Linked DNA regions of Saccharomyces cerevisiae S288C. The protein of the gene in region 1 interacts with the protein of each later gene in a biochemical or structural test. Each region holds a gene or a part of one and is shown in the gene's direction. Other genes may lie near its edges. The genes, in order: PRK1, VAS1, CMR2 and GPH1.

Region 1 (6,999 bases):
TGACTTAGAGTCGGCTATAAACAAATTCAAAGATCTGTCGCTTACCGGATCTAGTTTTTTCCATTTCTCTAACTGTCTGTTGATGTTCTCATGCGAGTCTCTCTGATTTTGTTTCTTAGCATATTCCAACTTTGTTATCATTGCCTTTCGTAGATTGCCCCAATTGACTATCTTGCTTGGCCTTTCATATTTCAGAATGGCTCTTATGAGTCCTCTATATGTGCGTAATGTTCTTGGTCTATCCATTTCCCTGGCACTCTCTCTTTCTCTCTCTTTTCAGCTTTTTGTTATCCACTTATCGCTGCAAATGAAACTCTAGTGCAATTTGAGATATTCACTTTTTGCAAAGGCGAAGAGAAGGGGGTGGTTAAATCTACAATTTCATACATAAAACAGAGAAAATGATTATAAATTATAGGAAAGTAGGTAAGCCATGGCAGAGAAATCAATATTTAATGAGCCTGATGTGGATTTCCATTTGAAATTAAATCAACAATTATTTCATATTCCTTATGAACTACTGTCCAAACGTATCAAGCATACTCAAGCGGTAATTAATAAGGAAACCAAATCACTACATGAACACACGGCCGCATTAAATCAAATATTTGAACATAATGACGTTGAGCACGACGAGTTGGCACTAGCAAAAATAACTGAAATGATTAGGAAAGTTGACCATATAGAAAGATTTTTAAATACGCAAATCAAGTCCTACTGTCAGATTTTGAACAGAATTAAAAAAAGGCTGGAGTTTTTCCACGAACTGAAGGACATCAAGTCACAAAATTCAGGAACATCGCACAATGGAAATAATGAGGGTACCAGGACTAAATTGATACAGTGGTATCAGAGTTATACAAACATTTTAATTGGTGATTATCTGACGAGGAATAACCCGATTAAATACAACTCGGAGACAAAGGATCATTGGAACTCTGGCGTAGTGTTTTTGAAACAGAGCCAACTGGATGATCTCATTGATTATGATGTCCTCTTGGAGGCTAATAGAATTTCGACTTCGTTACTACATGAGCGTAATCTCTTACCCCTAATTTCATGGATAAACGAGAACAAAAAGACACTGACCAAAAAGTCCTCTATATTAGAGTTTCAAGCAAGATTGCAAGAATATATTGAACTACTAAAGGTGGATAACTATACCGACGCTATAGTATGTTTTCAAAGATTCCTTTTACCATTCGTTAAGAGCAACTTCACCGATTTAAAATTAGCATCTGGACTTCTGATTTTTATCAAATACTGTAATGATCAAAAGCCAACTTCTTCTACCAGCTCTGGATTCGATACTGAAGAGATTAAGTCTCAAAGTTTACCAATGAAGAAAGATCGAATATTTCAACATTTTTTTCACAAATCTTTACCTAGAATTACCTCCAAACCTGCGGTGAATACAACAGACTATGACAAGAGTTCCTTAATAAATTTACAAAGTGGAGATTTCGAAAGATATCTGAATTTATTAGATGATCAAAGATGGTCGGTATTAAATGATTTATTCTTGAGCGACTTTTATTCCATGTATGGCATATCACAAAATGACCCTTTATTGATATACCTGTCACTAGGTATATCGTCTTTGAAGACAAGAGATTGCCTGCACCCTTCTGACGATGAAAATGGAAATCAAGAGACGGAAACTGCCACAACAGCAGAGAAAGAAGTTGAAGATTTACAACTCTTTACGCTACATTCACTAAAAAGGAAAAATTGTCCCGTTTGCAGTGAGACTTTCAAACCAATAACACAGGCATTACCATTTGCTCATCACATTCAGTCTCAATTATTTGAAAATCCAATACTATTACCAAATGGAAATGTTTACGACAGTAAAAAATTGAAGAAATTGGCCAAAACATTGAAAAAGCAAAACTTAATTTCTTTAAATCCAGGTCAAATTATGGATCCAGTTGACATGAAAATATTTTGCGAATCAGATTCTATCAAAATGTACCCAACCTGAAATAGTTTCAAGCTATATGCATTTTTTTATATAAAGATTTGTCCAACTTTCACAACTATTTTACAGATACTTACGCTATATAAGAATTAGGGAAAATGAAAGTTCTTTCATCAACATGGCGACATTCTTCCTTCTGTACTTAGTCTGAATCAGAATCTGTGTCTTTTTTGCTTTTACGGTTATGTTTTGAACTATTCGAGACATATTTACTAAAGATGTAGAACCTAGCATCACGTTCTTTCGCAGGTTTTGTAGTATCTTGTTCGCTATTCGTTCTCCGGTGATGATATCCTGGAAAATTTTCCCATTGGAATTTGCTCGATCTGCTCAGAGTTAGTCCATTTTTTTTGGCTAAAAGTTTGATTTGCCATGAATCATAGGGCTCTCCATCGAAAAGGGACAGTATGATGTTACCATAACCTTCGGCGGTCAATTTTTTAGCCTGGGGAGTATCCTCATTAAGATCATAGCCTTGCGTATAACGAAGAGTATCATTTTGAATTTTCGTGTTTATAAGATTAAATAATTGTAAGGAATTTTGGAAAAAGTTAAAAATTAAGTCCTGATGCTCTCTAATATTTCTTTCTTGATCCTTAATACCTTTTCCATTATGGGGAAAATTGAAAACTATATTTTGTAAAGGTTTGTTACCCCAACGATGATCGCTAAGCCTGTTGATTATTTTAAACCAAGTATTATTTTTGGAAATTTTAAAGCTCTTTACGAGCTTCGTAACGTCAATCTGGAAAAATATCGGAATATTTAGATCTTTTAAGTACTGGTAATTTTCCTCAAAAGTATGCGGATATTTCAATTTCAGCTCATTCACAGAATTATCGTAACTTGTTATGATTAAATTGTCACTTTCAATATAGTTTTGTTCAACAATGGATCTGGCAAAAGAAAAATCTCCTTCACCACATAGCATCAAAGTTTCATCCTTCTCAAAGGGCATAACCTTCCCTTGATTAAGTTTTTGGAATTCTTGGTTTCTCTTCACGGTTTTGTTATTAGCGCTCGAATTTTTCTTTCTTAGTTCATGTTTTTGCTTACTTTCAATATTCCTCACTAATTTCACTTTGGCCTTGTGCCTTAATAATGCACCTTTTAGGCCTTTACTCCCAATCTTACCCTTCAATTTCCTGGCCATTGATAATTTTAGGTTATGATTGGTGTTAATCTATGATTTTAACGTTACTAAACGTTGTCAGGCTCCAATGAATTTAAGTAATGGAAGGTTTTCTTTTAAGCTCATCGCATCGCCAATTCTTTTCTTTTTTTTTTTTTTTTTCCGAATAATTTACATTCTTTCTACAGGAGAAAAATATGGGAGCCAGCTTGAAATACTAAAATCATTAATAATACTGATGTACATGATCCAATAACAAGATCAACTACGACTTTTGTTATTACTGATTCAGAAGGAAAAAAAAATTGACTTCCAAGAAGTCATAAAAATAAGTGGTCTCTAGCGGGATCGAACCGCTGATCCCCGCGTTATTAGCACGGTGCCTTAACCAACTGGGCCAAGAGACCAGGAATTTGTTGAAGTATTTCATGTAAATTTAATATTAGTACTGATAGAGATTTCCGATATATATGATCGCTCTCAATTATTTTATATCAAGTAAATGTCAATGTCGTTAGTTTGCACTAGCTGTTACTATTTATTCTTAGTAAAGGTTTTTAAAAAAAACTGTAATTATAACCAGGCAGGCGTATGCAGAGCGAAGGTCTTGGAAAAAGAAAAATATAGAACAGTACATTTAGGAAACGCTAAAAAAGTCACCAAGCAGGCAGGTCACAGGCTCCACTTGAACATAAGTTAGTTCGCTAATACAGGTTGAATTTCCATTGTGGGATAGTTTATTATCTTCAGCGAAAAAAATCTTTTTTGATTGAAGTGTTGATCAAGATTATTTGTAACCTCCTATCTTTAGTTGAACTGATCCAAAAACAATGAATACTCCACAGATTAGTCTGTATGAACCCGGGACAATATTAACTGTGGGATCTCATCATGCTAAGATTATCAAATACCTTACGAGTGGTGGATTCGCACAAGTATATACTGCCGAAATTTCCCCTCCTGACCCATATAGCAATGCTAACATAGCATGCTTGAAAAGAGTCATTGTCCCCCATAAACAGGGTTTAAATACCTTGAGAGCTGAAGTGGATGCTATGAAACTCCTTAGAAATAATAAGCATGTTGTTTCTTACATAGATTCACATGCTGCAAGGTCTGTAAATGGTATAGCATATGAGGTGTTTGTGTTAATGGAATTTTGTGAACGTGGAGGTCTTATAGATTTTATGAACACCAGATTACAAAATAGATTACAAGAATCTGAAATATTAGAAATTATGAGTCAAACCGTCCAAGGTATAACTGCAATGCACGCTCTGCAGCCGCCATTGATTCATAGAGATATTAAGATTGAGAATGTACTTATTTCTCATGATGGCTTGTATAAAGTTTGTGATTTTGGTTCCGTTTCCGGTGTGATAAGGCCACCTAGAAATACTCAAGAGTTTAATTATGTTCAACACGACATCCTAACAAATACTACAGCTCAGTATAGATCACCTGAAATGATTGACCTGTACAGAGGGTTACCTATCGACGAAAAATCTGATATTTGGGCTCTTGGTGTCTTTCTTTACAAAATATGTTACTATACTACGCCGTTTGAAAAAAGTGGTGAAGCCGGTATACTACATGCAAGGTATCAATATCCATCCTTTCCGCAGTATAGTGACAGGTTGAAAAATTTGATACGTCTTATGTTAATGGAAGCACCATCTCAGAGGCCAAATATTTGTCAAGTTTTAGAGGAGGTTTCCAGGTTACAGAATAAGCCTTGCCCGATTAGAAATTTTTACTTGTTAAGAGCAATGAATCAGAATGCGAATACCCAATTGGCCGGTGAACCGTCTTCGACAACTTATGTTCCAACACAGAAATTTATTCCCGTACAAAGCCTTCAGAGCATCAACCAGCCACCAAATATGATGCCTGTAACTCACGTCAGTACTACTCCTAATTTGGGTACTTTCCCTATATCTATTAATGATAATAACAAGACAGAAGTAACGGCGCATGCTGGCTTACAGGTTGGAAGCCATTCAAATTTGACTAGTCCCTTAATGAAAACAAAATCCGTTCCACTTTCTGATGAATTTGCATCACTATATTATAAAGAGCTACACCCTTTTCAAAAGTCTCAGACTTTCAAATCAGTAGAAAGTTTCCAATCCCCACAAAGGAAGTCTATGCCTCCATTATCGCTTACTCCTGTTAATAATGACATTTTTGATAGAGTTTCGGCAATAAATCGTCCAAATAACTACGTTGATTCTGAGACGCAAACTATAGATAACATGGCTGTGCCAAACTTAAAACTATCTCCCACCATTACAAGCAAATCACTAAGCTCCACAAAAGAAATTGCTGCTCCAGATAATATAAATGGAAGCAAGATTGTGCGTTCACTAAGCTCTAAGTTAAAAAAGGTTATTACTGGTGAATCTCGCGGCAATTCTCCGATTAAATCAAGGCAAAATACTGGTGATAGTATCAGATCAGCATTTGGTAAGCTTCGTCATGGGTTTACAGGAAACTCAGTGAACAATAGCAGGTCTGCTTCCTTTGATAATAACAATGTCAACGGCAATGGTAACAATACAAACAGGCGATTAGTTTCGTCTTCAACCTCCTCCTTTCCTAAATTTAATTCTGATACCAAAAGAAAAGAGGAATCAGACAAGAATCAGAGACTGGAAAAACGTCGCAGTATGCCTCCTTCAATTTTATCAGATTTTGACCAGCATGAGAGGAATAACTCGAGAACTGGATCAAGGGACTATTACAGGTCTCATTCTCCAGTGAAGAAAACTCAAGCATCAGCTAAAACGACATCAAAGCCTACTTTGATACCAGATAATGGCAACGTTAATATAAATCAAGAAAAGAAGGAATCAATTCAAAGAAGAGTGCATAACTTACTAAAGAGTTCTGATGATCCGGTAACGTATAAATCCGCATCCGGGTATGGTAAATATACAGATATTGGTACAGAAACTTCCAATCGACATTCAAGTGTAAGAATAACACCAATCACAGAAGAAAAGTTTAAGAAAACCCTTAAGGATGGTGTTTTGGACATCAAAACGAAAAGCAACGGTAAAGATAAATCAAGACCACCACGTCCACCACCAAAACCACTACATTTAAGGACAGAAATTCAGAAGATAAGAAACTTTAGTCGTTTACAATCAAAGAAACTGCCGATTGAAAGAATTTCCAGCGAAGCCACAGAAACTATTGTTGATGTTAACGTAGATGATTTAGAAGCCGATTTTAGAAAAAGGTTTCCCAGCAAAGTTTAAAACTTGCTCTCACACATAATAGACTATGTAATATTAAAAGTCATACAAAATGTACAAATTTTCTTTCGTCAATCATTTGAAATTTTTTGAAATATATCTTGTCACTCATTCATTTATTTATTCGTTTCTATTTTCCTATTATATGCTCTATAATCTCGACAAAACGTCGTCAACGACTTGTTGAGTAGAAGCCTTACCACCTAAATCTGGTGTCTTGATAGAACCCTCTCTTAAGTTAGCATCAACAGCCTTGTAGATATCTTGGGCAGCTTCGTTGTGGCCCAAGAATTCCAACATCAAAGCAGTAGATCTTATAGTGGCGATTGGGTTAGCAATACCTTTACCAGCAATATCTGGTGCAGAACCATGGCATGGTTCACCAATGACAATTTCTGGACCTACGTTGGCGCTTGGAACAACACCTAATGAACCGACTAAAGCAGCAGCACCGTCAGATAATATATCCCCGTATAGGTTTGGTGCCACTATCACATCAAAACATTGTGGTTCTCTGAACAGCCTATAAACCATGGAATCCACAATTTGTTCGTTATATTTGATTTGACCGTACTTGTCCTTGTTAGATTCGTAGACTTCCTTACAGATTTCTCTGAATAGACCAT
Region 2 (7,604 bases), on another chromosome or scaffold:
GTACAACCAGTTGAGGGAGAAGGAAATTAATTATGCGAACTCCATGGTTGGGTCTCCGGATTATATGGCTTTGGAGGTTTTAGAAGGAAAGAAATATGACTTTACTGTGGATTACTGGTCGTTGGGTTGTATGCTGTTCGAAAGTTTAGTTGGTTATACACCATTTAGTGGATCATCGACTAATGAGACCTATGACAACTTAAGGCGCTGGAAACAAACTTTAAGAAGACCGAGACAATCTGATGGGAGGGCAGCATTCTCCGATAGAACTTGGGATTTAATAACAAGATTGATTGCCGATCCAATCAATCGATTAAGATCCTTCGAACATGTTAAACGCATGTCTTATTTTGCAGATATAAACTTTAGTACTTTGAGGTCAATGATCCCGCCTTTTACACCCCAACTAGACAGCGAAACTGATGCCGGTTATTTTGATGACTTCACCAGTGAGGCTGACATGGCCAAATATGCTGATGTTTTCAAAAGACAAGACAAATTAACGGCTATGGTAGATGACTCGGCAGTATCATCAAAACTTGTTGGGTTCACTTTCCGACATAGAAATGGTAAACAGGGTTCCAGTGGCATCTTATTCAACGGACTGGAACACTCAGACCCCTTTTCAACCTTTTACTAGCGTAAAAATGAATTCTTGTCTTGCATTCGCCGCGATATAATTAGCTTTAACGAGCTTCATGCAAACTTTTCAACTAGCACCTATGAACGCTTTTTTCATAAATATACATATATATATATATAGTTGTGCATTACTTAGGACTTCAAGCCCATTGTTTAAAATCTCAGTTCACGGTAACGGTCCATCCCATGACCGTTTTGAACTAAACTTAAGCATTCATGTTGGGAGCGGCGAAACTTGGTAATGTTTTACAGGAAAACAGCAATGACCACTATTAATCGAAAATCTGCAAAAAATGAAAAGGAATGGGTGTTAACATCAATTGTTTTTTCAATGATAATTACAAATTGGACTGATACTACATTGCTAGATGTACAAAAAACGCAAGGTAGCTCTCTTAGAAGGATCCATAATATATAAAAAAGGGCTTATGGTTTACTGATATCTTTTTCACTTCAAAAACTTACATATAAAAATAGGATGACAAATGCAAAGATTTTAGTAGCTCATATAAGTGAAAGCGATGCCGATGAGGCTATCAGAAAGATCAAGAAAGTGAATGAAAAATCAGGGCCCTTTGATCTAATAATTATATTCAGTAACTCGTATGATGAAAATTTTGAGCTGAATACTGATGGGTTACCTCAACTAATACTACTATCGTGTGATAAGGCTAACAATTCGAAATCCAAAAAGATAAATGAAAATGTAACATTGCTGCATAATATGGGTACTTATAAATTAGCAAATGGAATCACTCTTTCATATTTTATTTATCCGGATGATACTCTTCAAGGGGAGAAAAAAAGCATACTGGACGAATTTGGCAAAAGTGAGGATCAGGTAGACATTCTCCTTACAAAAGAATGGGGCCTTTCGATCTCTGAGAGATGTGGAAGGTTGTCTGGAAGTGAAGTTGTTGATGAATTGGCGAAAAAGTTACAAGCAAGGTACCATTTTGCCTTTTCAGATGAAATAAACTTTTACGAATTAGAGCCTTTCCAGTGGGAAAGAGAGCGCTTATCGAGGTTCCTCAATATTCCAAAATATGGATCTGGAAAGAAATGGGCCTATGCATTCAATATGCCAATAGGGGACAACGAACTAAAGGATGAACCTGAACCGCCCAACTTGATAGCTAACCCGTATAATAGCGTGGTTACAAACAGCAATAAAAGGCCACTAGAAACAGAAACAGAGAATTCGTTCGATGGAGACAAACAGGTACTTGCTAATAGAGAAAAGAATGAAAATAAAAAAATTCGAACGATTTTGCCGTCAAGTTGTCATTTCTGCTTTTCAAATCCAAACCTCGAGGATCATATGATAATATCAATCGGCAAACTAGTGTATTTAACCACAGCGAAGGGACCTTTAAGTGTTCCTAAGGGTGATATGGATATCTCAGGCCATTGCCTCATTATTCCCATTGAACATATTCCGAAATTAGATCCAAGCAAGAACGCAGAGTTGACACAGAGTATTTTGGCTTATGAAGCTAGTCTTGTGAAGATGAACTACATAAAATTTGATATGTGCACGATTGTCTTCGAAATACAGTCTGAACGTTCTATTCATTTCCACAAACAAGTTATTCCCGTTCCAAAATACCTCGTTCTAAAGTTCTGCAGTGCCTTAGATAGACAGGTTCATTTCAATAACGAAAAATTCACAAGAAATGCTAAGCTAGAGTTCCAATGTTACGATTCACACTCTTCCAAACAATATGTGGATGTAATTAACAACCAATCCAATAATTATTTACAATTTACCGTCTACGAGACTCCTGAAGCGGACCCAAAGATATATTTGGCCACATTTAATGCCAGTGAGACAATAGATCTGCAGTTTGGACGACGTGTACTAGCCTTTTTACTTAACTTGCCACGCAGGGTGAAATGGAATTCTTCAACCTGTTTACAAACTAAGCAACAAGAGACTATAGAGGCTGAAAAGTTTCAAAAGGCCTACAGGACCTATGACATTTCTCTCACAGAAAACTAAACTAAAACTATTTCATTTAGAATTTCAAATATATCCAAATATATGTATATATATGTAGAATACTAAGTCATGCTACCTCTGAACGTTTAAGAGACCTAGCAACTCAGAGGTGATGAATTAAAAGAAAAACCGGGTAAAGTTCTTCGAGAGACCGCGCTGAAAAAATTTTTTTAGAAGAGTCACCCATACAGCCTACTGGTGTTCTCTGTGTGTGCTACCACTGGCTGTCATCGTTGTTGTATGTCCTTCAGATTTATGGAATTACTTAGATGGTATGAATAAGTGGTTAAACACATTATCTAAGACATTCACTTTTCGGCTTTTGAACTGTCATTATAGGCGATCATTACCACTTTGTCAAAACTTTTCTCTGAAGAAGTCGTTAACTCATAATCAAGTCAGGTTCTTTAAAATGAGCGATCTTGATAATTTGCCTCCAGTTGACCCAAAGACTGGTGAGGTCATCATTAATCCGTTAAAGGAAGATGGCTCTCCAAAGACTCCTAAGGAAATTGAAAAAGAGAAGAAAAAGGCTGAAAAACTGTTAAAGTTCGCTGCCAAACAAGCTAAAAAAAATGCTGCTGCCACCACAGGTGCATCTCAAAAGAAACCTAAGAAAAAGAAGGAAGTTGAGCCAATCCCTGAATTTATTGACAAAACTGTTCCAGGTGAGAAAAAAATCTTAGTATCCTTGGATGATCCGGCTTTAAAAGCTTATAACCCTGCTAACGTTGAAAGTTCTTGGTATGACTGGTGGATCAAGACTGGTGTTTTTGAACCTGAGTTTACCGCTGATGGTAAGGTTAAACCAGAAGGTGTATTTTGCATTCCAGCACCTCCACCAAACGTCACTGGTGCCTTACATATTGGTCATGCTTTGACTATTGCTATCCAAGATTCTTTGATCAGATATAACAGAATGAAAGGTAAAACTGTCTTATTCTTGCCAGGTTTCGACCATGCTGGTATTGCTACTCAGTCCGTTGTGGAGAAGCAAATCTGGGCTAAGGACAGAAAGACTAGACATGACTATGGAAGAGAAGCTTTTGTTGGTAAGGTCTGGGAATGGAAAGAGGAATACCATAGCAGAATTAAGAACCAAATTCAAAAATTGGGGGCTTCTTATGATTGGAGCCGCGAAGCTTTCACTTTGAGTCCAGAATTGACCAAGTCTGTTGAAGAAGCTTTTGTTAGACTACATGATGAAGGTGTTATTTATCGTGCGTCCAGATTAGTTAATTGGTCTGTTAAATTGAATACCGCTATCTCTAATTTGGAAGTCGAAAATAAGGACGTTAAAAGTAGAACGCTTTTATCAGTCCCAGGCTATGATGAAAAGGTTGAATTTGGTGTTTTAACATCATTTGCTTATCCAGTTATCGGTAGCGATGAAAAACTGATCATTGCTACAACTAGACCTGAAACTATATTTGGTGATACTGCCGTTGCAGTTCATCCTGATGATGACCGTTACAAACACTTGCATGGTAAGTTCATCCAACATCCTTTCTTACCAAGAAAAATTCCAATTATCACCGACAAGGAAGCTGTTGACATGGAATTCGGTACTGGTGCCGTTAAGATCACTCCAGCCCATGACCAAAACGATTACAATACCGGTAAGCGTCACAATTTGGAATTCATCAATATTTTGACTGACGATGGTTTATTAAACGAGGAGTGTGGTCCAGAGTGGCAAGGCATGAAGAGGTTTGATGCCAGAAAGAAGGTCATTGAGCAGCTGAAGGAAAAGAACCTATACGTTGGCCAAGAAGATAATGAAATGACCATTCCAACTTGTTCCAGATCTGGTGACATTATTGAACCTTTATTGAAACCTCAATGGTGGGTTTCTCAAAGTGAAATGGCCAAAGATGCTATTAAGGTTGTTAGGGATGGTCAAATTACCATCACCCCCAAATCTTCTGAGGCTGAATATTTCCATTGGTTGGGTAACATCCAAGATTGGTGTATTTCCAGACAATTATGGTGGGGTCATCGTTGTCCAGTTTACTTTATTAATATCGAAGGCGAAGAACACGATAGAATTGATGGTGACTATTGGGTTGCTGGTAGGAGCATGGAGGAAGCTGAAAAGAAGGCTGCTGCCAAATACCCTAATTCCAAATTTACTCTGGAACAAGATGAAGATGTTTTAGACACCTGGTTCTCGTCCGGTTTGTGGCCTTTCTCCACTTTGGGTTGGCCAGAGAAGACTAAAGACATGGAAACTTTTTACCCCTTTTCTATGTTGGAAACTGGTTGGGATATTCTTTTCTTCTGGGTTACTAGAATGATTCTATTGGGCTTAAAATTGACCGGTTCAGTTCCATTCAAGGAAGTTTTCTGCCACTCTTTAGTCCGTGACGCTCAAGGTCGTAAGATGTCTAAATCTTTAGGTAATGTTATTGACCCACTAGACGTTATTACTGGTATTAAGTTGGATGATTTGCATGCAAAATTATTACAAGGTAACTTAGATCCAAGAGAAGTTGAAAAAGCTAAGATCGGTCAAAAGGAATCCTACCCTAACGGTATTCCTCAATGTGGTACCGATGCTATGAGGTTTGCATTATGTGCTTATACCACTGGTGGTCGTGATATTAACTTAGATATCTTACGTGTCGAAGGTTACAGAAAGTTCTGTAACAAAATCTACCAAGCTACCAAGTTTGCATTGATGAGACTCGGTGACGATTATCAACCACCTGCCACTGAAGGTCTATCAGGTAACGAATCCTTGGTTGAAAAATGGATCTTGCACAAGCTGACTGAAACCTCGAAAATTGTCAATGAAGCTCTAGATAAACGTGACTTCTTGACGTCCACTAGCAGTATTTACGAATTCTGGTATTTGATTTGTGATGTTTACATCGAGAACTCTAAATACTTGATTCAAGAAGGCTCTGCTATTGAAAAGAAGTCCGCAAAGGATACATTGTATATCTTGCTGGACAACGCTTTGAAATTAATCCATCCATTCATGCCATTCATTTCTGAAGAAATGTGGCAAAGACTTCCAAAGCGTTCCACTGAGAAGGCTGCCTCAATTGTAAAAGCTTCTTATCCAGTTTACGTATCTGAGTACGATGATGTCAAATCGGCCAATGCTTACGACTTGGTCTTGAACATTACCAAAGAAGCTCGTTCCTTGTTATCTGAGTACAATATTTTGAAGAATGGTAAGGTTTTCGTTGAATCTAACCACGAGGAATACTTCAAAACTGCTGAAGATCAGAAAGATTCTATTGTCTCGTTGATCAAGGCCATCGACGAAGTCACTGTTGTTCGTGATGCTTCCGAAATTCCAGAAGGTTGCGTATTGCAATCTGTTAACCCAGAAGTCAATGTACATCTTCTCGTCAAGGGACACGTTGATATTGATGCTGAAATTGCGAAAGTTCAAAAGAAACTTGAAAAGGCTAAAAAATCCAAGAACGGTATTGAACAAACCATTAACAGTAAGGATTACGAAACAAAGGCTAATACACAGGCCAAGGAAGCCAATAAAAGCAAGCTGGATAACACTGTTGCCGAAATCGAAGGTTTGGAAGCTACTATTGAAAACTTGAAGCGTTTGAAATTGTAGATTGAAGGTAGATAAAAATTAATGTAATATATATATATATATATGCTATGTATATGTAACAACGAAAATGTTAAGAATTTTAGAACATTGAATAATAACTATTTCCAAATATAAGAGGTAGTCTCCGGCATACGACATAGCATGTTGTGGTATATTATAATCTATAATGGCTATACAACTAGACGAGGTGATATATTGTCCTGTATTATTCTTCTTATATTTGTGACAAGTTCTTGACACTTTTGCTCACCCAGCTCCAGTAAACTGAACAATTGATCTTCATTAAAATCACCATTGCTGTCTAACAATAAAACGTTTTTCACGACTTTACCGCCATTGACGAACTCCAGAGCTAAAGTGTGGACAGAGAGCGAAATCTTCAATTGCTCGGCAGTGGGATCGACAATGATATCACTAGTGTCTTTGATTATTGCAATAGGGATGCTTGCGCACATACTATTTAAGGCAATTCCTGCATCAACTAAAGCCAAAAATGCCGCATTTATACAACAACTTAGCTCTCTCAGGGAGAATTCGGCTTCATCTTCACCAGATTCCAGAATTTGACAAGTTATCTGGCAGAGCTGTCTTGGGTAACAATGACGAGTGATGAGTGGGGTCAGAACTGCCCGTAATTTATCTTCGAGTACCTTCTCTCTTGTTGTGGCCACCCCTTTCGCGGGACGTACAATAATTTCTAATGCTAATTGTGTAGGCAGTTCTTGTCTTGCTTTTGGTTCAATAGGGCCTGTTACAGAACAAATAACCTTGGTGTCTTGTGATACGAATTCAGATGAACCATCTACATGATCTAATATCCCTATTTCTGCTTGGACGCTCATTTTTTTTTTTTTTTCAGCAGAATCTAATCTATTCTTGGTATTGGGCTCCTTGTTATTACCATATATGCAGAGATATTTTATGCATCTTAACTGGTTCATCTAACAAATTTTCCACTCTTTTTTCCACAATCCGATGCGCTTAAAAGGAAAAAAAAAGTAGTAAAAAGAAAAAGAGAGGTACATAATAGTCTTTATGAAGAAAAGGCGCTATTTTGTCACCTTTAACTTGGCATAGTCTGGAGCTTTATATAAACCATTCAAAGTACATAAATGTTGATATGTTCAAAGAGGAGGACTCGTTAAGAAAAGGGCAAAATGTGGCCGCGTGGAAAACTTTGTTGGCTGGCGCCGTATCCGGGCTGCTTGCCCGTAGCATAACTGCTCCCATGGATACCATTAAGATCAGATTGCAATTGACCCCTGCAAATGGGCTGAAGCCCTTCGGAAGTCAGGTCATGGAGGTGGCCAGAAGCATGATAAAGAACGAAGGCATCCGGTCCTTTTGGAAGGGTAACATACCCGGTTCTTT
Region 3 (9,094 bases), on another chromosome or scaffold:
GTCTTATTTGGCATTTTCGATCGTAATACCGCTTCTGTTTTGGCACTGATAATGTTCACAAAACTTTCTCTTGTAAACTAAAACGTTTACATAACTTCTAGCAAAGTTATAGTATTGCGGAAAGATTACCCACCTGATATGCGTTAATTAGTCATGTTCAAATTTCAGAAAGCCTTTTTCTATAAAAGATTATACAATGACATCCGGTAAGTCCGCCACACTATAGCTATTTTACGAGAAACCTTGGATGCTGCCAAATGTGGTATATCAACCAGCGTTGGTATAAGTCTCGTAAGTGAATTAATTGAGTTTAGTACTTGTTATAATGATGTACTAGCTTCATACCCCCTCTTTTTTTCGGGCTAATGGGAGTAATGGCATGGCCCAGATTGCTTGTGGCCGAGGCAGTGAAAAGTCGCGATGAGTTGAAAAATTTTTTTGCGATGAGGGAAAAGCGATTAACTCGGTGAAATTTCATCTGGTTCGTAATTGGGTGTCAGTTTACGTACGCTTTGGATAATATAATATATGTACGGCTTGCGTTGCAGTGTGAAACTGTTTCAATTTATTACATGCAATTTATTCTCTTTGTACTGGGACGTTCTTTTCTCTTGTAGAAAATTAACAACATCGTGTTACATAAACTTGGTTACCGCATACTGCAACCTCATATAAATACAACATAGGAAAGAAATGGCTGCCGGTGTCCCAAAAATTGATGCGTTAGAATCTTTGGGCAATCCTTTGGAGGATGCCAAGAGAGCTGCAGCATACAGAGCAGTTGATGAAAATTTAAAATTTGATGATCACAAAATTATTGGAATTGGTAGTGGTAGCACAGTGGTTTATGTTGCCGAAAGAATTGGACAATATTTGCATGACCCTAAATTTTATGAAGTAGCGTCTAAATTCATTTGCATTCCAACAGGATTCCAATCAAGAAACTTGATTTTGGATAACAAGTTGCAATTAGGCTCCATTGAACAGTATCCTCGCATTGATATAGCGTTTGACGGTGCTGATGAAGTGGATGAGAATTTACAATTAATTAAAGGTGGTGGTGCTTGTCTATTTCAAGAAAAATTGGTTAGTACTAGTGCTAAAACCTTCATTGTCGTTGCTGATTCAAGAAAAAAGTCACCAAAACATTTAGGTAAGAACTGGAGGCAAGGTGTTCCCATTGAAATTGTACCTTCCTCATACGTGAGGGTCAAGAATGATCTATTAGAACAATTGCATGCTGAAAAAGTTGACATCAGACAAGGAGGTTCTGCTAAAGCAGGTCCTGTTGTAACTGACAATAATAACTTCATTATCGATGCGGATTTCGGTGAAATTTCCGATCCAAGAAAATTGCATAGAGAAATCAAACTGTTAGTGGGCGTGGTGGAAACAGGTTTATTCATCGACAACGCTTCAAAAGCCTACTTCGGTAATTCTGACGGTAGTGTTGAAGTTACCGAAAAGTGAGCAGATCAAAGGCAAAGACAGAAACCGTAGTAAAGGTTGACTTTTCACAACAGTGTCTCCATTTTTTATATTGTATTATTAAAGCTATTTAGTTATTTGGATACTGTTTTTTTTCCAGAAGTTTTCTTTTTAGTAAAGTACAATCCAGTAAAAATGAAGGATGAACAATCGGTGTATGCAGATTCAACACCAATAAATGCAATGTTTATTTCTTTGGAACGTTTGTGTTGTTCGAAATCCAGGATAATCCTTCAACAAGACCCTGTCCGGATAAGGCGTTACTACCGATGACACACCAAGGTTGGTTTTTCAAATTTTTCTCCAGTTCTAAAAAATCGGAAACCTCTTGAGGTTTCATTGCATCTTTCAAATCTTGTTTGTTTGCCCATACCAGCAGTACTACATTCTCCATCTCTTTCTCACCTATGATACTATATAACTCTTCTTTGGCCTCTTCCATACGGTTTCTAGCACTAGAATCTATCACAAAGATAAGTGCGGTGGTGGCTGGAAAATAATGTCTCCAGAGAGGTCTCAATCTTTGTTGTCCTCCTACATCCCACATGTTGAATTTTACGTTTTTATAAGTAACGGTTTCCACGTTAAAACCGACAGTGGGAGTAGACGTCTTTATTTTATTTAATTTTAGTTTGTACAATATTGTTGTCTTACCAGCCTTATCCAGGCCTAGCATCAAAATTTTCATTTCTTTCGAGCCAAATAGTTTTCCCAGAACCTTCGAAATTGAATTGCCCATCTCTACAATTAGCTTGTCTTTTCCTTTTTTCCGTTCTAAATCCCAATTATCTTCCCAATGTCAAAGCAACTGTAATGTCTCAGTCTAATTCAGCGTACGTTGCGTCTTACTATGCTTCTGCAAATAGGGTTTTAATGCTGCGTACATCTTCATTATCTTATAAGTGCCATCATTCGGACGGGTAATGGATGAAATCGTCAAAACCCGATTACTTTCTAGTATGTTTTATTTCTGTTTATAATGTAGTCAAAAGAGCTTCAACAGATTTAACATTTGCTTCCGTAAACTTGGTGTTAGGGTGATTCAGTTCTGTGTAAAAGCGTGTGGCATTGAGTTACTCCAATGGATTTTTCTATTCCTCCTACCTTACCTCTAGATCTGCAAAGTCGGTTAAATGAGTTAATTCAAGACTATAAGGATGAAAATCTAACAAGAAAGGGTTATGAGACCAAAAGAAAACAATTGCTAGACAAATTTGAAATCTCCCAAATGAGGCCTTATACCCCGCTTCGATCTCCCAATTCGAGAAAGTCGAAACATTTGCACAGAAGAAATACAAGTCTTGCATCATCCATTACGTCGTTACCTAATTCAATTGACAGACGTCATTCTATCTATCGTGTCACAACTATAAACTCGACTTCTGCGAACAATACTCCCAGAAGGCGGAGCAAGAGATATACAGCTTCTTTGCAATCGTCATTGCCAGGTTCCAGTGATGAAAACGGTTCAGTGAAGGATGCCGTTTATAATCCTATGATACCATTACTACCAAGACACACTGGAGCCGAAAATACTAGCAGTGGAGACTCAGCAATGACGGATTCTTTACCGCTAATTTTACGGGGACGCTTTGAACATTATGATGGTCAAACAGCGATGATCAGCATAAATTCTAAAGGCAAAGAAACGTTCATCACATGGGATAAACTTTATTTGAAAGCGGAGAGGGTAGCACATGAATTGAATAAGAGTCACCTTTACAAAATGGATAAGATTTTACTATGGTACAATAAAAATGATGTCATCGAATTTACTATTGCATTATTAGGCTGTTTCATATCCGGCATGGCAGCTGTACCAGTCTCATTCGAAACGTATTCTCTGCGTGAGATCCTTGAGATAATTAAAGTAACAAATTCGAAATTTGTTCTGATTTCTAACGCATGTCATAGACAATTAGATAACTTGTATTCGTCATCAAATCATTCAAAAGTTAAACTGGTTAAGAACGATGTTTTCCAGCAAATCAAATTTGTCAAGACTGATGACTTAGGGACGTACACAAAGGCAAAAAAAACTTCGCCTACCTTTGATATACCGAATATTTCATATATAGAGTTTACTAGAACACCGCTAGGTCGTCTTTCTGGCGTCGTCATGAAGCATAACATCTTAATAAACCAATTTGAAACGATGACAAAAATTCTAAACTCACGATCAATGCCTCACTGGAAACAAAAATCACAAAGCATCAGGAAGCCATTTCACAAAAAAATTATGGCAACCAACTCAAGGTTTGTTATCTTGAATAGTCTGGACCCTACTAGATCTACTGGTTTGATAATGGGTGTGCTTTTCAATCTTTTTACTGGTAATCTTATGATATCTATCGATAGTAGTATATTACAACGACCTGGGGGCTATGAAAATATCATTGATAAATTTAGAGCCGACATTTTACTGAATGATCAGCTACAATTGAAGCAGGTAGTTATTAATTATTTGGAAAATCCCGAATCAGCTTTTTCCAAGAAGCACAAAATAGATTTCAGTTGCATCAAGTCATGTTTAACCTCATGTACCACTATAGATACCGATGTAAGCGAGATGGTTGTTCATAAATGGCTGAAAAATTTAGGATGTATTGATGCACCATTTTGTTATTCTCCCATGTTAACGTTATTGGACTTTGGTGGTATCTTTATATCTATAAGAGATCAATTAGGAAACCTAGAGAACTTTCCAATACATAATTCAAAACTAAGGCTTCAAAATGAATTGTTTATAAACCGCGAGAAATTGAAGCTTAATGAGGTTGAATGTAGCATAACTGCTATGATTAATTCATCAAGCTCCTTCAAAGATTATCTTAAATTAGAAACATTTGGCTTCCCAATTCCTGATATCACTTTATGTGTGGTTAATCCAGATACGAATACGTTGGTGCAAGACCTCACTGTTGGAGAAATATGGATCTCTTCTAACCACATCACCGACGAATTTTACCAGATGGATAAAGTGAACGAATTTGTGTTCAAAGCAAAACTAAATTACTCCGAAATGTTTTCTTGGGCAAAGTATGAAATGCCTACTAACGAAAAATCGCAAGCAGTTACTGAACAATTGGATACCATTCTGAATATTTGTCCTGCAAATACCTACTTTATGAGAACCAAGCTTATGGGGTTTGTTCATAACGGAAAGATATACGTGCTTTCACTCATAGAAGATATGTTTTTACAGAATAGATTAATCAGATTACCTAACTGGGCTCACACATCAAACCTTCTTTATGCCAAAAAAGGGAATCAATCTGCTCAACCTAAAGGTAACACTGGAGCAGAAAGCACTAAGGCTATTGATATTTCGAGTTTAAGTGGCGAAACATCTTCGGGATACAAAAGAGTTGTTGAATCCCACTATCTACAACAGATTACTGAAACAGTTGTGAGGACAGTAAATACAGTTTTTGAGGTTGCTGCATTTGAATTACAACACCATAAAGAAGAGCACTTTTTAGTTATGGTGGTAGAAAGCTCCCTAGCAAAAACCGAAGAAGAGAGTAAAAATGGCGAAACAACAGATACTACCTTAATGAAATTTGCAGAAACACAGAGGAACAAATTAGAAACGAAAATGAATGATTTAACTGACCAAATTTTTAGAATTCTTTGGATTTTTCATAAAATCCAACCAATGTGCATTTTAGTTGTGCCGAGAGATACTTTACCTAGGAGATATTGTTCTCTGGAATTGGCCAATAGCACGGTAGAGAAGAAGTTTTTAAACAATGATCTCAGTGCACAGTTTGTAAAGTTTCAATTCGATAATGTCATATTGGATTTTTTGCCCCATTCAGCGTACTATAATGAGAGTATATTATCCGAGCATTTATCAAAATTGAGAAAGATGGCTTTACAAGAAGAATACGCTATGATCGAACCAGCATATCGTAATGGCGGTCCCGTTAAACCAAAACTTGCCCTACAATGCAGTGGTGTTGATTACAGAGATGAGTCTGTTGACACTCGAAGCCATACAAAACTCACAGACTTCAAATCGATTTTAGAGATTCTGGAATGGAGAATTTCTAATTATGGGAACGAAACGGCGTTCAGTGATGGTACAAACACAAACCTAGTCAACTCTTCAGCTAGTAACGATAATAACGTTCACAAAAAGGTATCATGGGCAAGTTTTGGTAAAATTGTCGCAGGCTTTTTGAAAAAAATCGTAGGTTCTAAAATTCCATTGAAGCATGGTGACCCTATTATTATTATGTGTGAAAATTCGGTTGAATACGTAGCGATGATCATGGCCTGCCTGTACTGTAACTTATTGGTAATTCCCCTACCAAGCGTTAAGGAGTCTGTCATAGAAGAGGACCTAAAAGGCTTGGTTAATATTATTCAAAGTTACAAAGTGAAAAGAGTATTTGTTGATGCTAAATTGCACTCATTGTTGAATGATAATAATGTCGTAAACAAATGTTTTAAGAAATACAAAAGTTTGATACCCAAGATTACAGTTTTCTCAAAAGTCAAGACAAAGAATGCGTTAACAGTATCTATGTTTAAGAATGTGTTAAAGCAGAAATTTGGGGCCAAACCAGGTACTAGGATTGGTATGACACCGTGTGTTGTATGGGTAAATACAGAGTATGATGTAACATCTAATATTCACGTAACAATGACACATTCGTCTTTACTGAATGCAAGCAAAATAGTCAAAGAAACTTTGCAGTTAAGAAATAATAGTCCACTTTTCTCTATATGTTCTCATACATCTGGATTGGGCTTTATGTTCAGCTGTTTGTTAGGAATTTATACGGGTGCTTCAACTTGCTTATTCAGCCTTACTGATGTTCTTACTGACCCTAAGGAGTTTTTAATTGGCCTTCAAAATTTAAACGTAAAAGATTTATATTTGAAGCTTGAAACGTTATATGCTTTACTGGATAGAGCCTCTAGTTTGATTGAGGGATTCAAAAATAAGAAGGAGAATATAAACTCTGCCAAAAACAATACATCTGGCTCGCTTAGAGAAGATGTTTTCAAGGGTGTTCGAAATATCATGATACCTTTTCCTAATAGACCAAGGATTTATACAATTGAAAATATTTTAAAACGGTACTCAACCATATCCCTATCATGTACACAAATAAGTTATGTCTATCAACATCACTTCAATCCGCTTATATCATTAAGGTCGTATCTGGATATTCCTCCGGTTGACCTATATTTAGACCCATTTTCACTGAGGGAAGGTATAATTAGAGAAGTCAACCCCAATGATGTAAGTGCTGGAAACTATATCAAGATTCAAGATTCTGGTGTTGTTCCTGTATGTACTGACGTTTCAGTAGTTAATCCAGAGACACTCCTACCATGTGTTGATGGAGAATTCGGTGAGATTTGGTGCTGTTCGGAAGCTAATGCATTCGACTACTTTGTGTGTAACAGTTCAAAAAACAAGTTGTACAAAGATCCCTTTATCACAGAACAATTCAAAAGTAAGATGAAGAGCGAAGTGAATAACACTTTAAGCTATTTGAGAACTGGTGATCTGGGCTTTATCAAAAACGTAAGTTGCACGAATTCACAGGGAGAGGTCGTCAATTTGAACTTGTTGTTTGTTTTGGGAAGTATTCATGAATCCATTGAAATTCTAGGATTGACACATTTTGTTAGTGATTTGGAGAGAACCGTTAAAGATGTTCACAGTGACATTGGTAGTTGTTTGATTGCCAAAGCAGGTGGATTATTAGTGTGCTTAATTAGGTGTAAGGAACGACATAATCCCATCTTGGGTAATCTAACGACTTTAATTGTTTCAGAGTTGTTAAATAAGCATGGTGTCATTTTAGATTTATGCACATTTGTGAGAACTAAAGGTATAAGCCCAAAAAATTCTAGTATGATAATGGAAGTTTGGGCGAAAAATAGAGCATCGATAATGCAAGCCTGGTTTGATCAGAAAATTCAAATAGAAGCACAATTTGGCATAAACTATGGTGAAAATATTTCCATTTATTTATTATCAGATTATGAAAAGGACAATATTTAACACATCCAAGTACAGTAAATTTGTCATGACTATTGGATGCTACTGAGTTGTGGAAAGACTCTAATTAATCTATATTAGAGATTAAATAATTATTTATAATTTTTGATTATAAACATGAAATAATCATGTATGTTTTATATGTAAATACGCTATACCACTTAAAAATTAATGAAAAGGATATTTATGATTCACAAATAATTAAAAGATCACCTTTTTTCGTTCCATCAGAAAATCTTATGTTCGAAAAAAGAAGAAAAAGATTAGTAACACTGAGAAGCTGCGACTAAATGTTATTTTTTTGAATAACAATCAAAAGTGAAATTGTATAAACAGAAGAAAAAGCATGAAGTTTTGTTTTCATTATTATTTTTATACTATGAAACTCTATAAAATCTGAAATAAGTGAATTCTACGTTGATAAAAAAAGACCAACAAACAACTATAAAATTACACCCTGATTCAGTTGTACGATGAAATGAAATTATGAGAATGAGAATGGGAATGCATGAATAGATCTTGTTTCTTCCTTAACGAACTTTATAATTTCATTTGAACTTTGATGAAATAAGACACCAAAAATGGTAAACTAACGACCATCAAAGGATATTGAAGCATCAAAAAGAAAGAGGTACATTCCATTTGAACGGGTTCAGTTTCGTCCTCAGGGGTATAACTTGCAGTGAAGTAGATTAAGGTGGTCATTGTTGGTAAGTTCCAAGTAATGGCGGTAACAAACAATAACATCTTGTCGTTTTCCCAATTTAGCCATCCCGCTTTCACTAGACGGTCACACCACAAGACACCAAAGATCGGCATGATACATTGTCTGAGAAAGACTAATACCACTGCGGATTTCCAGAAACCAGGGTATAATTTTCCAATTTTCAATCTACCAAGAGTAGCGCCTAAAAGAATCAAACCGAAGGGAACTGAAGCGGCTCCAACATAAGATGTAAAATCCATAATGAAAGTTAGAGCAGGTGCATTATCTGGGGCTTGTTTGATTTTTGGTGTATTACTGGTCGTAACGAAAAGGGCTTTTACCCAGGGAATAAAAGCGATAATCAAAGCCAGGATAACAGCCATGGAACAAGGCCTTAGACAATTTTTTAGAAAAAAGACGAAAAATTTTGTTAAGGGAAATTTCTGTAGCCATTTTGGTAAAGAGGAACCGGAAGTCTCAATATCTTTCTTACTAACAGTGGCATCTGAGGTGATTATTCTTGTTAGGTTGGAAGTTTTGACTCTTTGTAAAGTGGAGGTTCTAGTCAAATTTGGAGAAATAGTACCGTCTGCCTGCAAAACAGAGGGTGCTCCTTGGGAGCTGATAGAACTTTTCCTTCTTCTACCGTATTGATCAACATTGGAGTATTCACGAATTAAATCCGACATGCCTTCCGCGGGTAGTTCACGCATATCGATGGAACGTAAGGAGCCAGTGATGGAATTCCTGCGGTTATTATGAACATGTGATGTTCTTGACTCGGTAGTGTATGCTATTGGTTGACTTCTAGTTCTGTAAGTAGGATCGTTAAGCTCGCTTACAGATTGGGCATCCACATGGTTTGTGCGTAGTGA
Region 4 (7,166 bases), on another chromosome or scaffold:
TATGGCCGTGTTTCAGGTTTGTGGCCCGGTCTTTGGACTATGGGTAATTTAGGGAGGCCCGGTTATTTGGCTAGTACCCAAGGTGTCTGGCCTTATTCTTATGAATCGTGTGATGCTGGTATTACACCCAACCAAAGTTCCCCGGATGGTATTTCTTACTTGCCGGGACAAAAGTTAAGTATTTGTACTTGTGATGGTGAAGATCATCCGAATCAAGGTGTTGGTAGAGGAGCTCCAGAAATTGATGTTTTGGAAGGTGAAACTGATACTAAGATTGGTGTAGGTATAGCCTCTCAATCCTTGCAAATTGCACCTTTTGATATCTGGTACATGCCTGACTATGATTTTATCGAGGTTTACAATTTCACAACAACGACCATGAACACTTATGCTGGCGGTCCATTTCAACAAGCCGTATCTGCTGTCTCAACTTTGAACGTAACTTGGTATGAATTCGGTGAGTACGGTGGCTACTTTCAAAAATATGCCATTGAGTATCTGAACGATGACGACAATGGTTATATCCGTTGGTTTGTTGGTGATACTCCAACTTATACTATTCATGCTAAAGCCTTACATCCTGATGGTAATATTGGTTGGAGAAGAATCAGTAAAGAACCAATGTCGATTATTCTAAATCTGGGTATTTCCAACAATTGGGCTTATATTGATTGGCAGTATATTTTCTTCCCAGTGGTTATGTCGATTGACTATGTTAGAATATACCAACCAAGTAATGCTATATCCGTGACATGCGATCCAAGTGACTATCCAACATATGATTATATTCAATCGCACTTAAATGCATTCCAGAATGCAAACTTAACTACTTGGGAAGATGCTGGTTACACGTTCCCTAAGAATATCCTAACTGGTAAATGTACTAGCTCGAAGTTCAAGTTATCCTCTTAAGCGGGTATTTTGATGGTAAATCTACAAGCCCTCGGCTTTAATTATTACCATGGTCATAAAAAGTTACTTACAATGCATACATTTTTCTTTTAGGAAGAAATAAAATATAAAAGACTTATCGTTCAAATCGGGTCATAAAGGGAACTAAAGGTATACTAAGGTAAGACGGGGTTCTCATCTGCACGTAATTTTTTATTATTTTTAGTGAGGGAGAACTTTACCTCTAAGATTGTTTATATAGGTATACACATTTTTGTAAAACTGATTATTCGTTTTTTTTTTTGAAACAAGTTATTAGTACAAAAATCAAGCTCTCACTACTTACCAGTAGTTATTTTAGTAGAATATTATTAACTCTACCGAATAAGTACGATATGAGAAATTGCTGATTTACTTGTGTGTGTTCCTATTATTATCCAGGAGCGCCTCTAATCTATGCTTATAATTTTACGTTGAAAAAAAAGGAGTCTGTATAATTATTTCAAATTCATCCTTTTCTCACGGATATTGTGTACCCTATGAGGTAAATAATTGCGCTTTATTTTCTCCCTGTGTTTGCTCGCTCATCTTAAGACGAAAAAAGTAATGGAACACCTACCATCAATAGAAGTACCACACTCATGTAAATAACAAGCGCAAGTGGTTTAGTGGTAAAATCCAACGTTGCCATCGTTGGGCCCCCGGTTCGATTCCGGGCTTGCGCAGATTTTATTTTTTGCTCCCTTCTAAAGCTCTGGATGATTCACCAACTTATCCAAGGCAAGGTCCAACTACCGTTTCCTTCGATGAAAAAGACAATAGGTAGCTCTGTCAAACCCCGTGGAAACGCAAACTCATCGGGAGTGTCCTACTGCTTTCCACTAGTTATCCGACTAGCAAGGCAACTAGTCAAGATGAAACCGTCTCACGAACATTTGTATACGATCTCTTCTCCTGATAGACAATGAAATATACCCCGGTGCTTGTTTCCCACTAAGGAAAAAAGGCCGCTGCCCCACAGCGGGAAGGCCCTTCAAGGGGTAGCGGCATCGCCTAGTAGCACTGTGGGGGGAAGAATACAACGCTCAACGGAAGAGGAAGCTCTGCGAGATGCAGCCAGCACCTTCTATGTTTCAAGGATAACATTTTGAATTAACAAGGAACGCCTTCCCCAATTACCGTTATTGTATTTTTACTTTTTAGAGACTCTCGAGGAAATAAGTAAGGGGTGGATAATTTTCGCTAAAAAAGTTTCAGGGGAGGTTAATAACTACCATGTGCATGCTACAAAGATAAGGAAGGAACACCGACGAATATATTATATGTATAAAAGGAGCATGAAGTTTGTATAGCAGTAAAGCAAGATTCTTTGTGCCTTCCCGTTTCTTGTTGTACCTTTTGTTTTGATTACGTACGAAGTATTATAAGTTTTTTCTGCTTGCTATTGTAATATAAAGTAAGCACAGATTGAGAAGGTAACGATTACTAAAAATATCCAAAAGAAAAACAATTGGATCTTTTTTGACTTCTCTACATTACAATTTCAGTAAAGCAGCTTTCAACTTAATTTAATTTTGAACAATGCCGCCAGCTAGTACTAGTACTACCAATGATATGATAACCGAAGAACCTACTTCTCCACACCAAATCCCAAGGCTTACAAGGAGACTTACGGGGTTTCTTCCCCAAGAAATCAAGTCAATTGACACGATGATTCCTTTAAAGTCAAGAGCGTTATGGAATAAGCATCAAGTCAAAAAATTTAACAAGGCAGAAGATTTTCAAGATAGATTCATTGACCATGTGGAAACTACATTAGCACGTTCCCTATATAATTGTGATGACATGGCTGCTTATGAAGCTGCTTCGATGAGTATTCGTGACAATTTGGTCATTGACTGGAACAAAACTCAGCAGAAATTCACCACAAGAGACCCAAAGAGAGTTTACTATTTGTCTTTGGAGTTTTTGATGGGTAGGGCTTTGGATAATGCCCTGATTAATATGAAGATTGAAGATCCGGAAGACCCTGCTGCCTCAAAGGGAAAACCAAGAGAAATGATTAAAGGGGCTTTGGATGATTTAGGTTTCAAGTTAGAGGATGTCTTGGACCAAGAACCGGACGCAGGTTTAGGTAATGGTGGTCTAGGTCGTCTTGCAGCTTGCTTCGTCGACTCAATGGCAACGGAAGGCATCCCTGCCTGGGGTTATGGTCTACGTTATGAGTATGGTATCTTTGCTCAAAAGATTATTGACGGTTACCAGGTGGAAACTCCAGATTACTGGTTAAATTCTGGTAATCCATGGGAAATTGAACGTAACGAAGTGCAAATTCCTGTCACCTTTTATGGTTATGTTGATAGACCAGAAGGCGGTAAAACTACACTGAGTGCGTCACAATGGATCGGTGGGGAAAGAGTTCTTGCTGTCGCGTATGATTTCCCAGTTCCGGGTTTCAAGACTTCCAATGTAAATAACTTAAGACTATGGCAAGCAAGGCCAACAACAGAATTTGATTTTGCAAAATTCAATAATGGTGACTATAAAAACTCTGTGGCTCAGCAACAACGCGCAGAGTCTATAACCGCTGTGTTGTATCCAAACGATAACTTTGCTCAAGGTAAGGAGTTGAGGTTGAAACAGCAGTACTTCTGGTGTGCTGCATCCTTACACGACATCTTAAGAAGATTCAAAAAATCCAAGAGGCCATGGACTGAATTTCCTGACCAAGTGGCTATTCAGTTGAATGATACTCATCCAACTTTAGCCATCGTTGAATTACAGAGAGTTTTGGTCGATCTAGAAAAACTAGATTGGCACGAGGCTTGGGACATCGTGACCAAGACTTTTGCTTATACTAACCACACTGTTATGCAAGAGGCCCTGGAAAAATGGCCCGTCGGCCTCTTTGGCCATTTGCTACCCAGACATTTGGAAATTATATATGATATCAACTGGTTCTTCTTGCAAGATGTGGCCAAAAAATTCCCCAAGGATGTTGATCTTTTGTCTCGTATATCCATCATCGAAGAAAACTCTCCAGAAAGACAGATCAGAATGGCCTTTTTGGCTATTGTTGGTTCACACAAGGTTAATGGTGTTGCTGAATTGCACTCTGAATTAATCAAAACGACCATATTTAAAGATTTTGTCAAGTTCTATGGTCCATCAAAGTTTGTCAATGTCACTAACGGTATCACACCAAGGAGATGGTTGAAGCAAGCTAACCCTTCATTGGCTAAACTGATCAGTGAAACCCTTAACGATCCAACAGAGGAGTATTTGTTGGACATGGCCAAACTGACCCAGTTGGGAAAATATGTTGAAGATAAGGAGTTTTTGAAAAAATGGAACCAAGTCAAGCTTAATAATAAGATCAGATTAGTAGATTTAATCAAAAAGGAAAATGATGGAGTAGACATCATTAACAGAGAGTATTTGGACGACACCTTGTTTGATATGCAAGTTAAACGTATTCATGAATATAAGCGTCAACAGCTAAACGTCTTTGGTATTATATACCGTTACCTGGCAATGAAGAATATGCTGAAGAACGGTGCTTCGATCGAAGAAGTTGCCAAGAAATATCCACGCAAGGTTTCAATCTTTGGTGGTAAGAGTGCTCCTGGTTACTACATGGCTAAGCTGATCATAAAATTGATCAACTGTGTTGCTGACATTGTTAATAACGACGAGTCAATTGAGCATTTGTTGAAGGTTGTCTTTGTTGCTGATTATAATGTTTCTAAGGCTGAAATCATTATTCCAGCAAGTGACTTGAGTGAGCATATTTCTACTGCTGGTACTGAAGCGTCTGGTACTTCTAATATGAAGTTTGTTATGAACGGTGGTTTGATTATTGGTACTGTTGATGGTGCCAATGTGGAAATCACAAGGGAAATTGGTGAAGATAATGTCTTCTTGTTTGGTAACCTAAGTGAAAATGTCGAAGAATTGAGATACAACCATCAATACCATCCACAAGATTTACCATCTAGTTTGGATTCTGTTTTATCCTACATTGAAAGTGGACAATTTTCTCCAGAAAATCCAAATGAATTCAAACCTTTAGTCGACAGTATTAAGTACCACGGCGATTATTACCTGGTCAGTGATGACTTTGAATCCTATCTGGCCACCCATGAATTAGTGGACCAGGAGTTCCACAATCAAAGGTCAGAATGGTTAAAAAAGAGTGTCCTGAGCGTTGCAAACGTCGGCTTCTTTAGCAGTGATCGTTGTATCGAGGAATACTCCGATACCATTTGGAACGTTGAACCAGTGACTTAGCTGGGAGTTTTTTTTATCTCTTTGGCACCCTTCTCCCCATTTCTAGTAAGCGCTTTTTTCTCTTTACTTCTTCTCTTATATAAAACGCCTTTAAAATAATCGTTATCGGTTTTTTGGCACTCTTTTAAATGGTATATATGATGTTACAGGAAAACTTAGTTGTTTTCATATTGAAAATCCGCGCAGGATAACGCTTGTGTAAAACCGAGTGTCCTGAAGGTGGGTAAGGCGGTCCTTATTATCACTTACTCGAACGTTGACATTGGTACAGTCCCTATCAGGTAGGATGTACTGACGTTTTGACAATAGTTTCGATTTTATGGATTGTTTGAAAAGAGCGAGACAGTGACAAAACGTGATAGATTACATAGTAGTCAGTATACAACTTTCCGTAATTAGCCACGAGGCCAGAAAGGAAGAGAGAATAGTATAACCTAATATAGATCTGCAATATCACTATTTTGGAACTCCTTAGACTCATCTGGTTTCGCTCTTTCATCCTTAAAGCTTCCATTTTTTTTCTCTATTGGTTTACTCGTAAGCTGATGCTGCCCCTGTGAGGGCGAGATTGGGAATTGTGGATGAGAAGGTCTCGAGCCTTGATGATGATCACCAGCCATATTGCGAGAACCGTTTGAAGGATTATAATTTTTATTGATTGGCGCATTGGATTCTTGGCGACTATATTTCTGTGGTTGCCTATTGAAGTTGGTTTCCGGCTTGTTCACGTACCTAGGGTTATGATATCTAGAGTCATTTGGCGAGTTTTTGTACCGGGACTCATTTGAATTACCCTGGTATCTTGACTGAGGCCCCAATGGCAAAGGTACTTTATTATATTTAGAGCTGACATTTGTCTCAGGATGAAATCGATTTACGGGATTCCTGCTGTTGTTGGGTGCAGTGCTGTTGCCGCTGAAGCGATTATTTCTGGAACTATTGTTGGGTCCGTATCTATTAACTCCTGCAGGGGCTGCTGGCGGTGGAATCGCAGTTTTAGCATATCCGCTGTTCACATGATACGGTCTAGGATTTTGATGTAGTTCTCTTATTTTCGAAGGAGGCGGCTTAGCCAATACGTTCTTTGATGGAGGCAAAAAACTTGCGTCATCTTTCTTGGGGCCTCTTGGGATCGCCCCAAGATTTTTCACGACAGGTGATTCACCCTTTTCAACTATATGACCTCTTGGCGCAGTAGGTACTCTTTGGGACAATGATTGGTGCATTTCTTCCTTGTACCTCTTAATATCAGCTTCATGACTTTCTTCCGTCGGTAATGTTATCTTCTCTGATGGTAAAGGGTCCTCTTTAAACCAAGGATGGTGTTTAGCAGACATAGCGGTCAACCTCTTGTAAGGATCTAACGCTAACAACTGTCCTAAAAAATCTAGACCTGTTTCACTTAGATATTTACCAAATCTTTCCCTCAACGTTGGCTTGTAATTAGTTGTTGTTAGTTCAGCACCTGGCAAATATCTAGCCACGGCCCAATCTTCTTCTGTCGGTGTACCAAGTAGTTTGAAAATAACATGTCCCTGATCAATATCCGTTTTTCCCTGTAAAATAGGTTTTTTCTCAAAAAATTCTGCGAAAACGCATCCGACACCCCATATATCAACAGCTGTTGTATACTGTTTATCACCAAGCACCAACTCAGGTGCTCTATACCATCTCGTTACGACTACTGATGTATATTTGGCGCCGGAACCTGCACCACCAGGATACTTTAAGTTTGGAGGACAGCCATAATATAATCTTGCTAAACCAAAATCAGCAAGCTTTAAAACACCGTTGTGGTCAATCAAAATATTTGCTGTCTTTATATCCCTATGCATGAATTTTGCACAATGAATATAATTTAGGCCTTCTAATATTTGTAGCATCATATTCTTTATATCGCACATCTCTAAGTTGATTCTCGGATTATGCAAAACGCCCGACAGATCTGCTACCATATACGGCAGGATCATGTAGAATGACTTATG

What was found.
Region 2: of the proteins of PRK1 (region 1) and VAS1, one has a biochemical effect on the other in vitro, tested with the Saccharomyces cerevisiae proteins (one study listed by BioGRID).
Region 3: of the proteins of PRK1 (region 1) and CMR2, one has a biochemical effect on the other in vitro, tested with the Saccharomyces cerevisiae proteins (one study listed by BioGRID).
Region 4: of the proteins of PRK1 (region 1) and GPH1, one has a biochemical effect on the other in vitro, tested with the Saccharomyces cerevisiae proteins (one study listed by BioGRID).

What each region holds. Positions count from the first base shown.
Region 1 is NC_001141.2:179,994-186,992, forward strand, and holds PRK1 (serine/threonine protein kinase PRK1), read left to right. Parts: upstream 1-3,943; coding exon 3,944-6,376; downstream 6,377-6,999. Other genes in the region: FMC1 (Fmc1p), read right to left, coding at 1-246; glucose-induced degradation complex subunit FYV10, read left to right, coding at 434-1,984; BMT5 (25S rRNA (uracil2634-N3)-methyltransferase), read right to left, coding at 2,124-3,134; LYS12 (homoisocitrate dehydrogenase), read right to left, coding at 6,524-6,999. UniProt on the Saccharomyces cerevisiae protein: Protein kinase involved in the regulation of actin cytoskeleton organization and endocytosis. Phosphorylates PAN1 which disrupts the interaction between PAN1 and END3, and between PAN1 and SLA1. Phosphorylates SCD5.
Region 2 is NC_001139.9:669,268-676,871, forward strand, and holds VAS1 (valine--tRNA ligase), read left to right. Parts: upstream 1-2,918; coding exon 2,919-6,233; downstream 6,234-7,604. Other genes in the region: serine/threonine-protein kinase DBF2, read left to right, coding at 1-640; DRN1 (Drn1p), read left to right, coding at 1,121-2,644; exosome non-catalytic core subunit RRP46, read right to left, coding at 6,404-7,075; thiamine transporter TPC1, read left to right, coding at 7,354-7,604.
Region 3 is NC_001147.6:495,928-505,021, reverse strand, and holds CMR2 (Cmr2p), read left to right. Parts: upstream 1-2,569; coding exon 2,570-7,516; downstream 7,517-9,094. Other genes in the region: ribose-5-phosphate isomerase RKI1, read left to right, coding at 694-1,470; Arf family GTPase ARF3, read right to left, coding at 1,676-2,227; putative ATPase ECM3, read right to left, coding at 8,054-9,094. UniProt on the Saccharomyces cerevisiae protein: Homeostatic regulator of a chemically distinct subset of diacylglycerols (DAGs) with C36 chain length that prevents the toxic accumulation of these specific DAGs in the logarithmic growth phase, which otherwise leads to endoplasmic reticulum stress.
Region 4 is NC_001148.4:858,834-865,999, forward strand, and holds GPH1 (glycogen phosphorylase), read left to right. Parts: upstream 1-2,472; coding exon 2,473-5,181; downstream 5,182-7,166. Other genes in the region: beta-glucan synthesis-associated protein KRE6, read left to right, coding at 1-912; YPR159C-A (uncharacterized protein), read right to left, coding at 1,481-1,582; cyclin-dependent serine/threonine protein kinase SGV1, read right to left, coding at 5,616-7,166. UniProt on the Saccharomyces cerevisiae protein: Phosphorylase is an important allosteric enzyme in carbohydrate metabolism. Enzymes from different sources differ in their regulatory mechanisms and in their natural substrates. However, all known phosphorylases share catalytic and structural properties.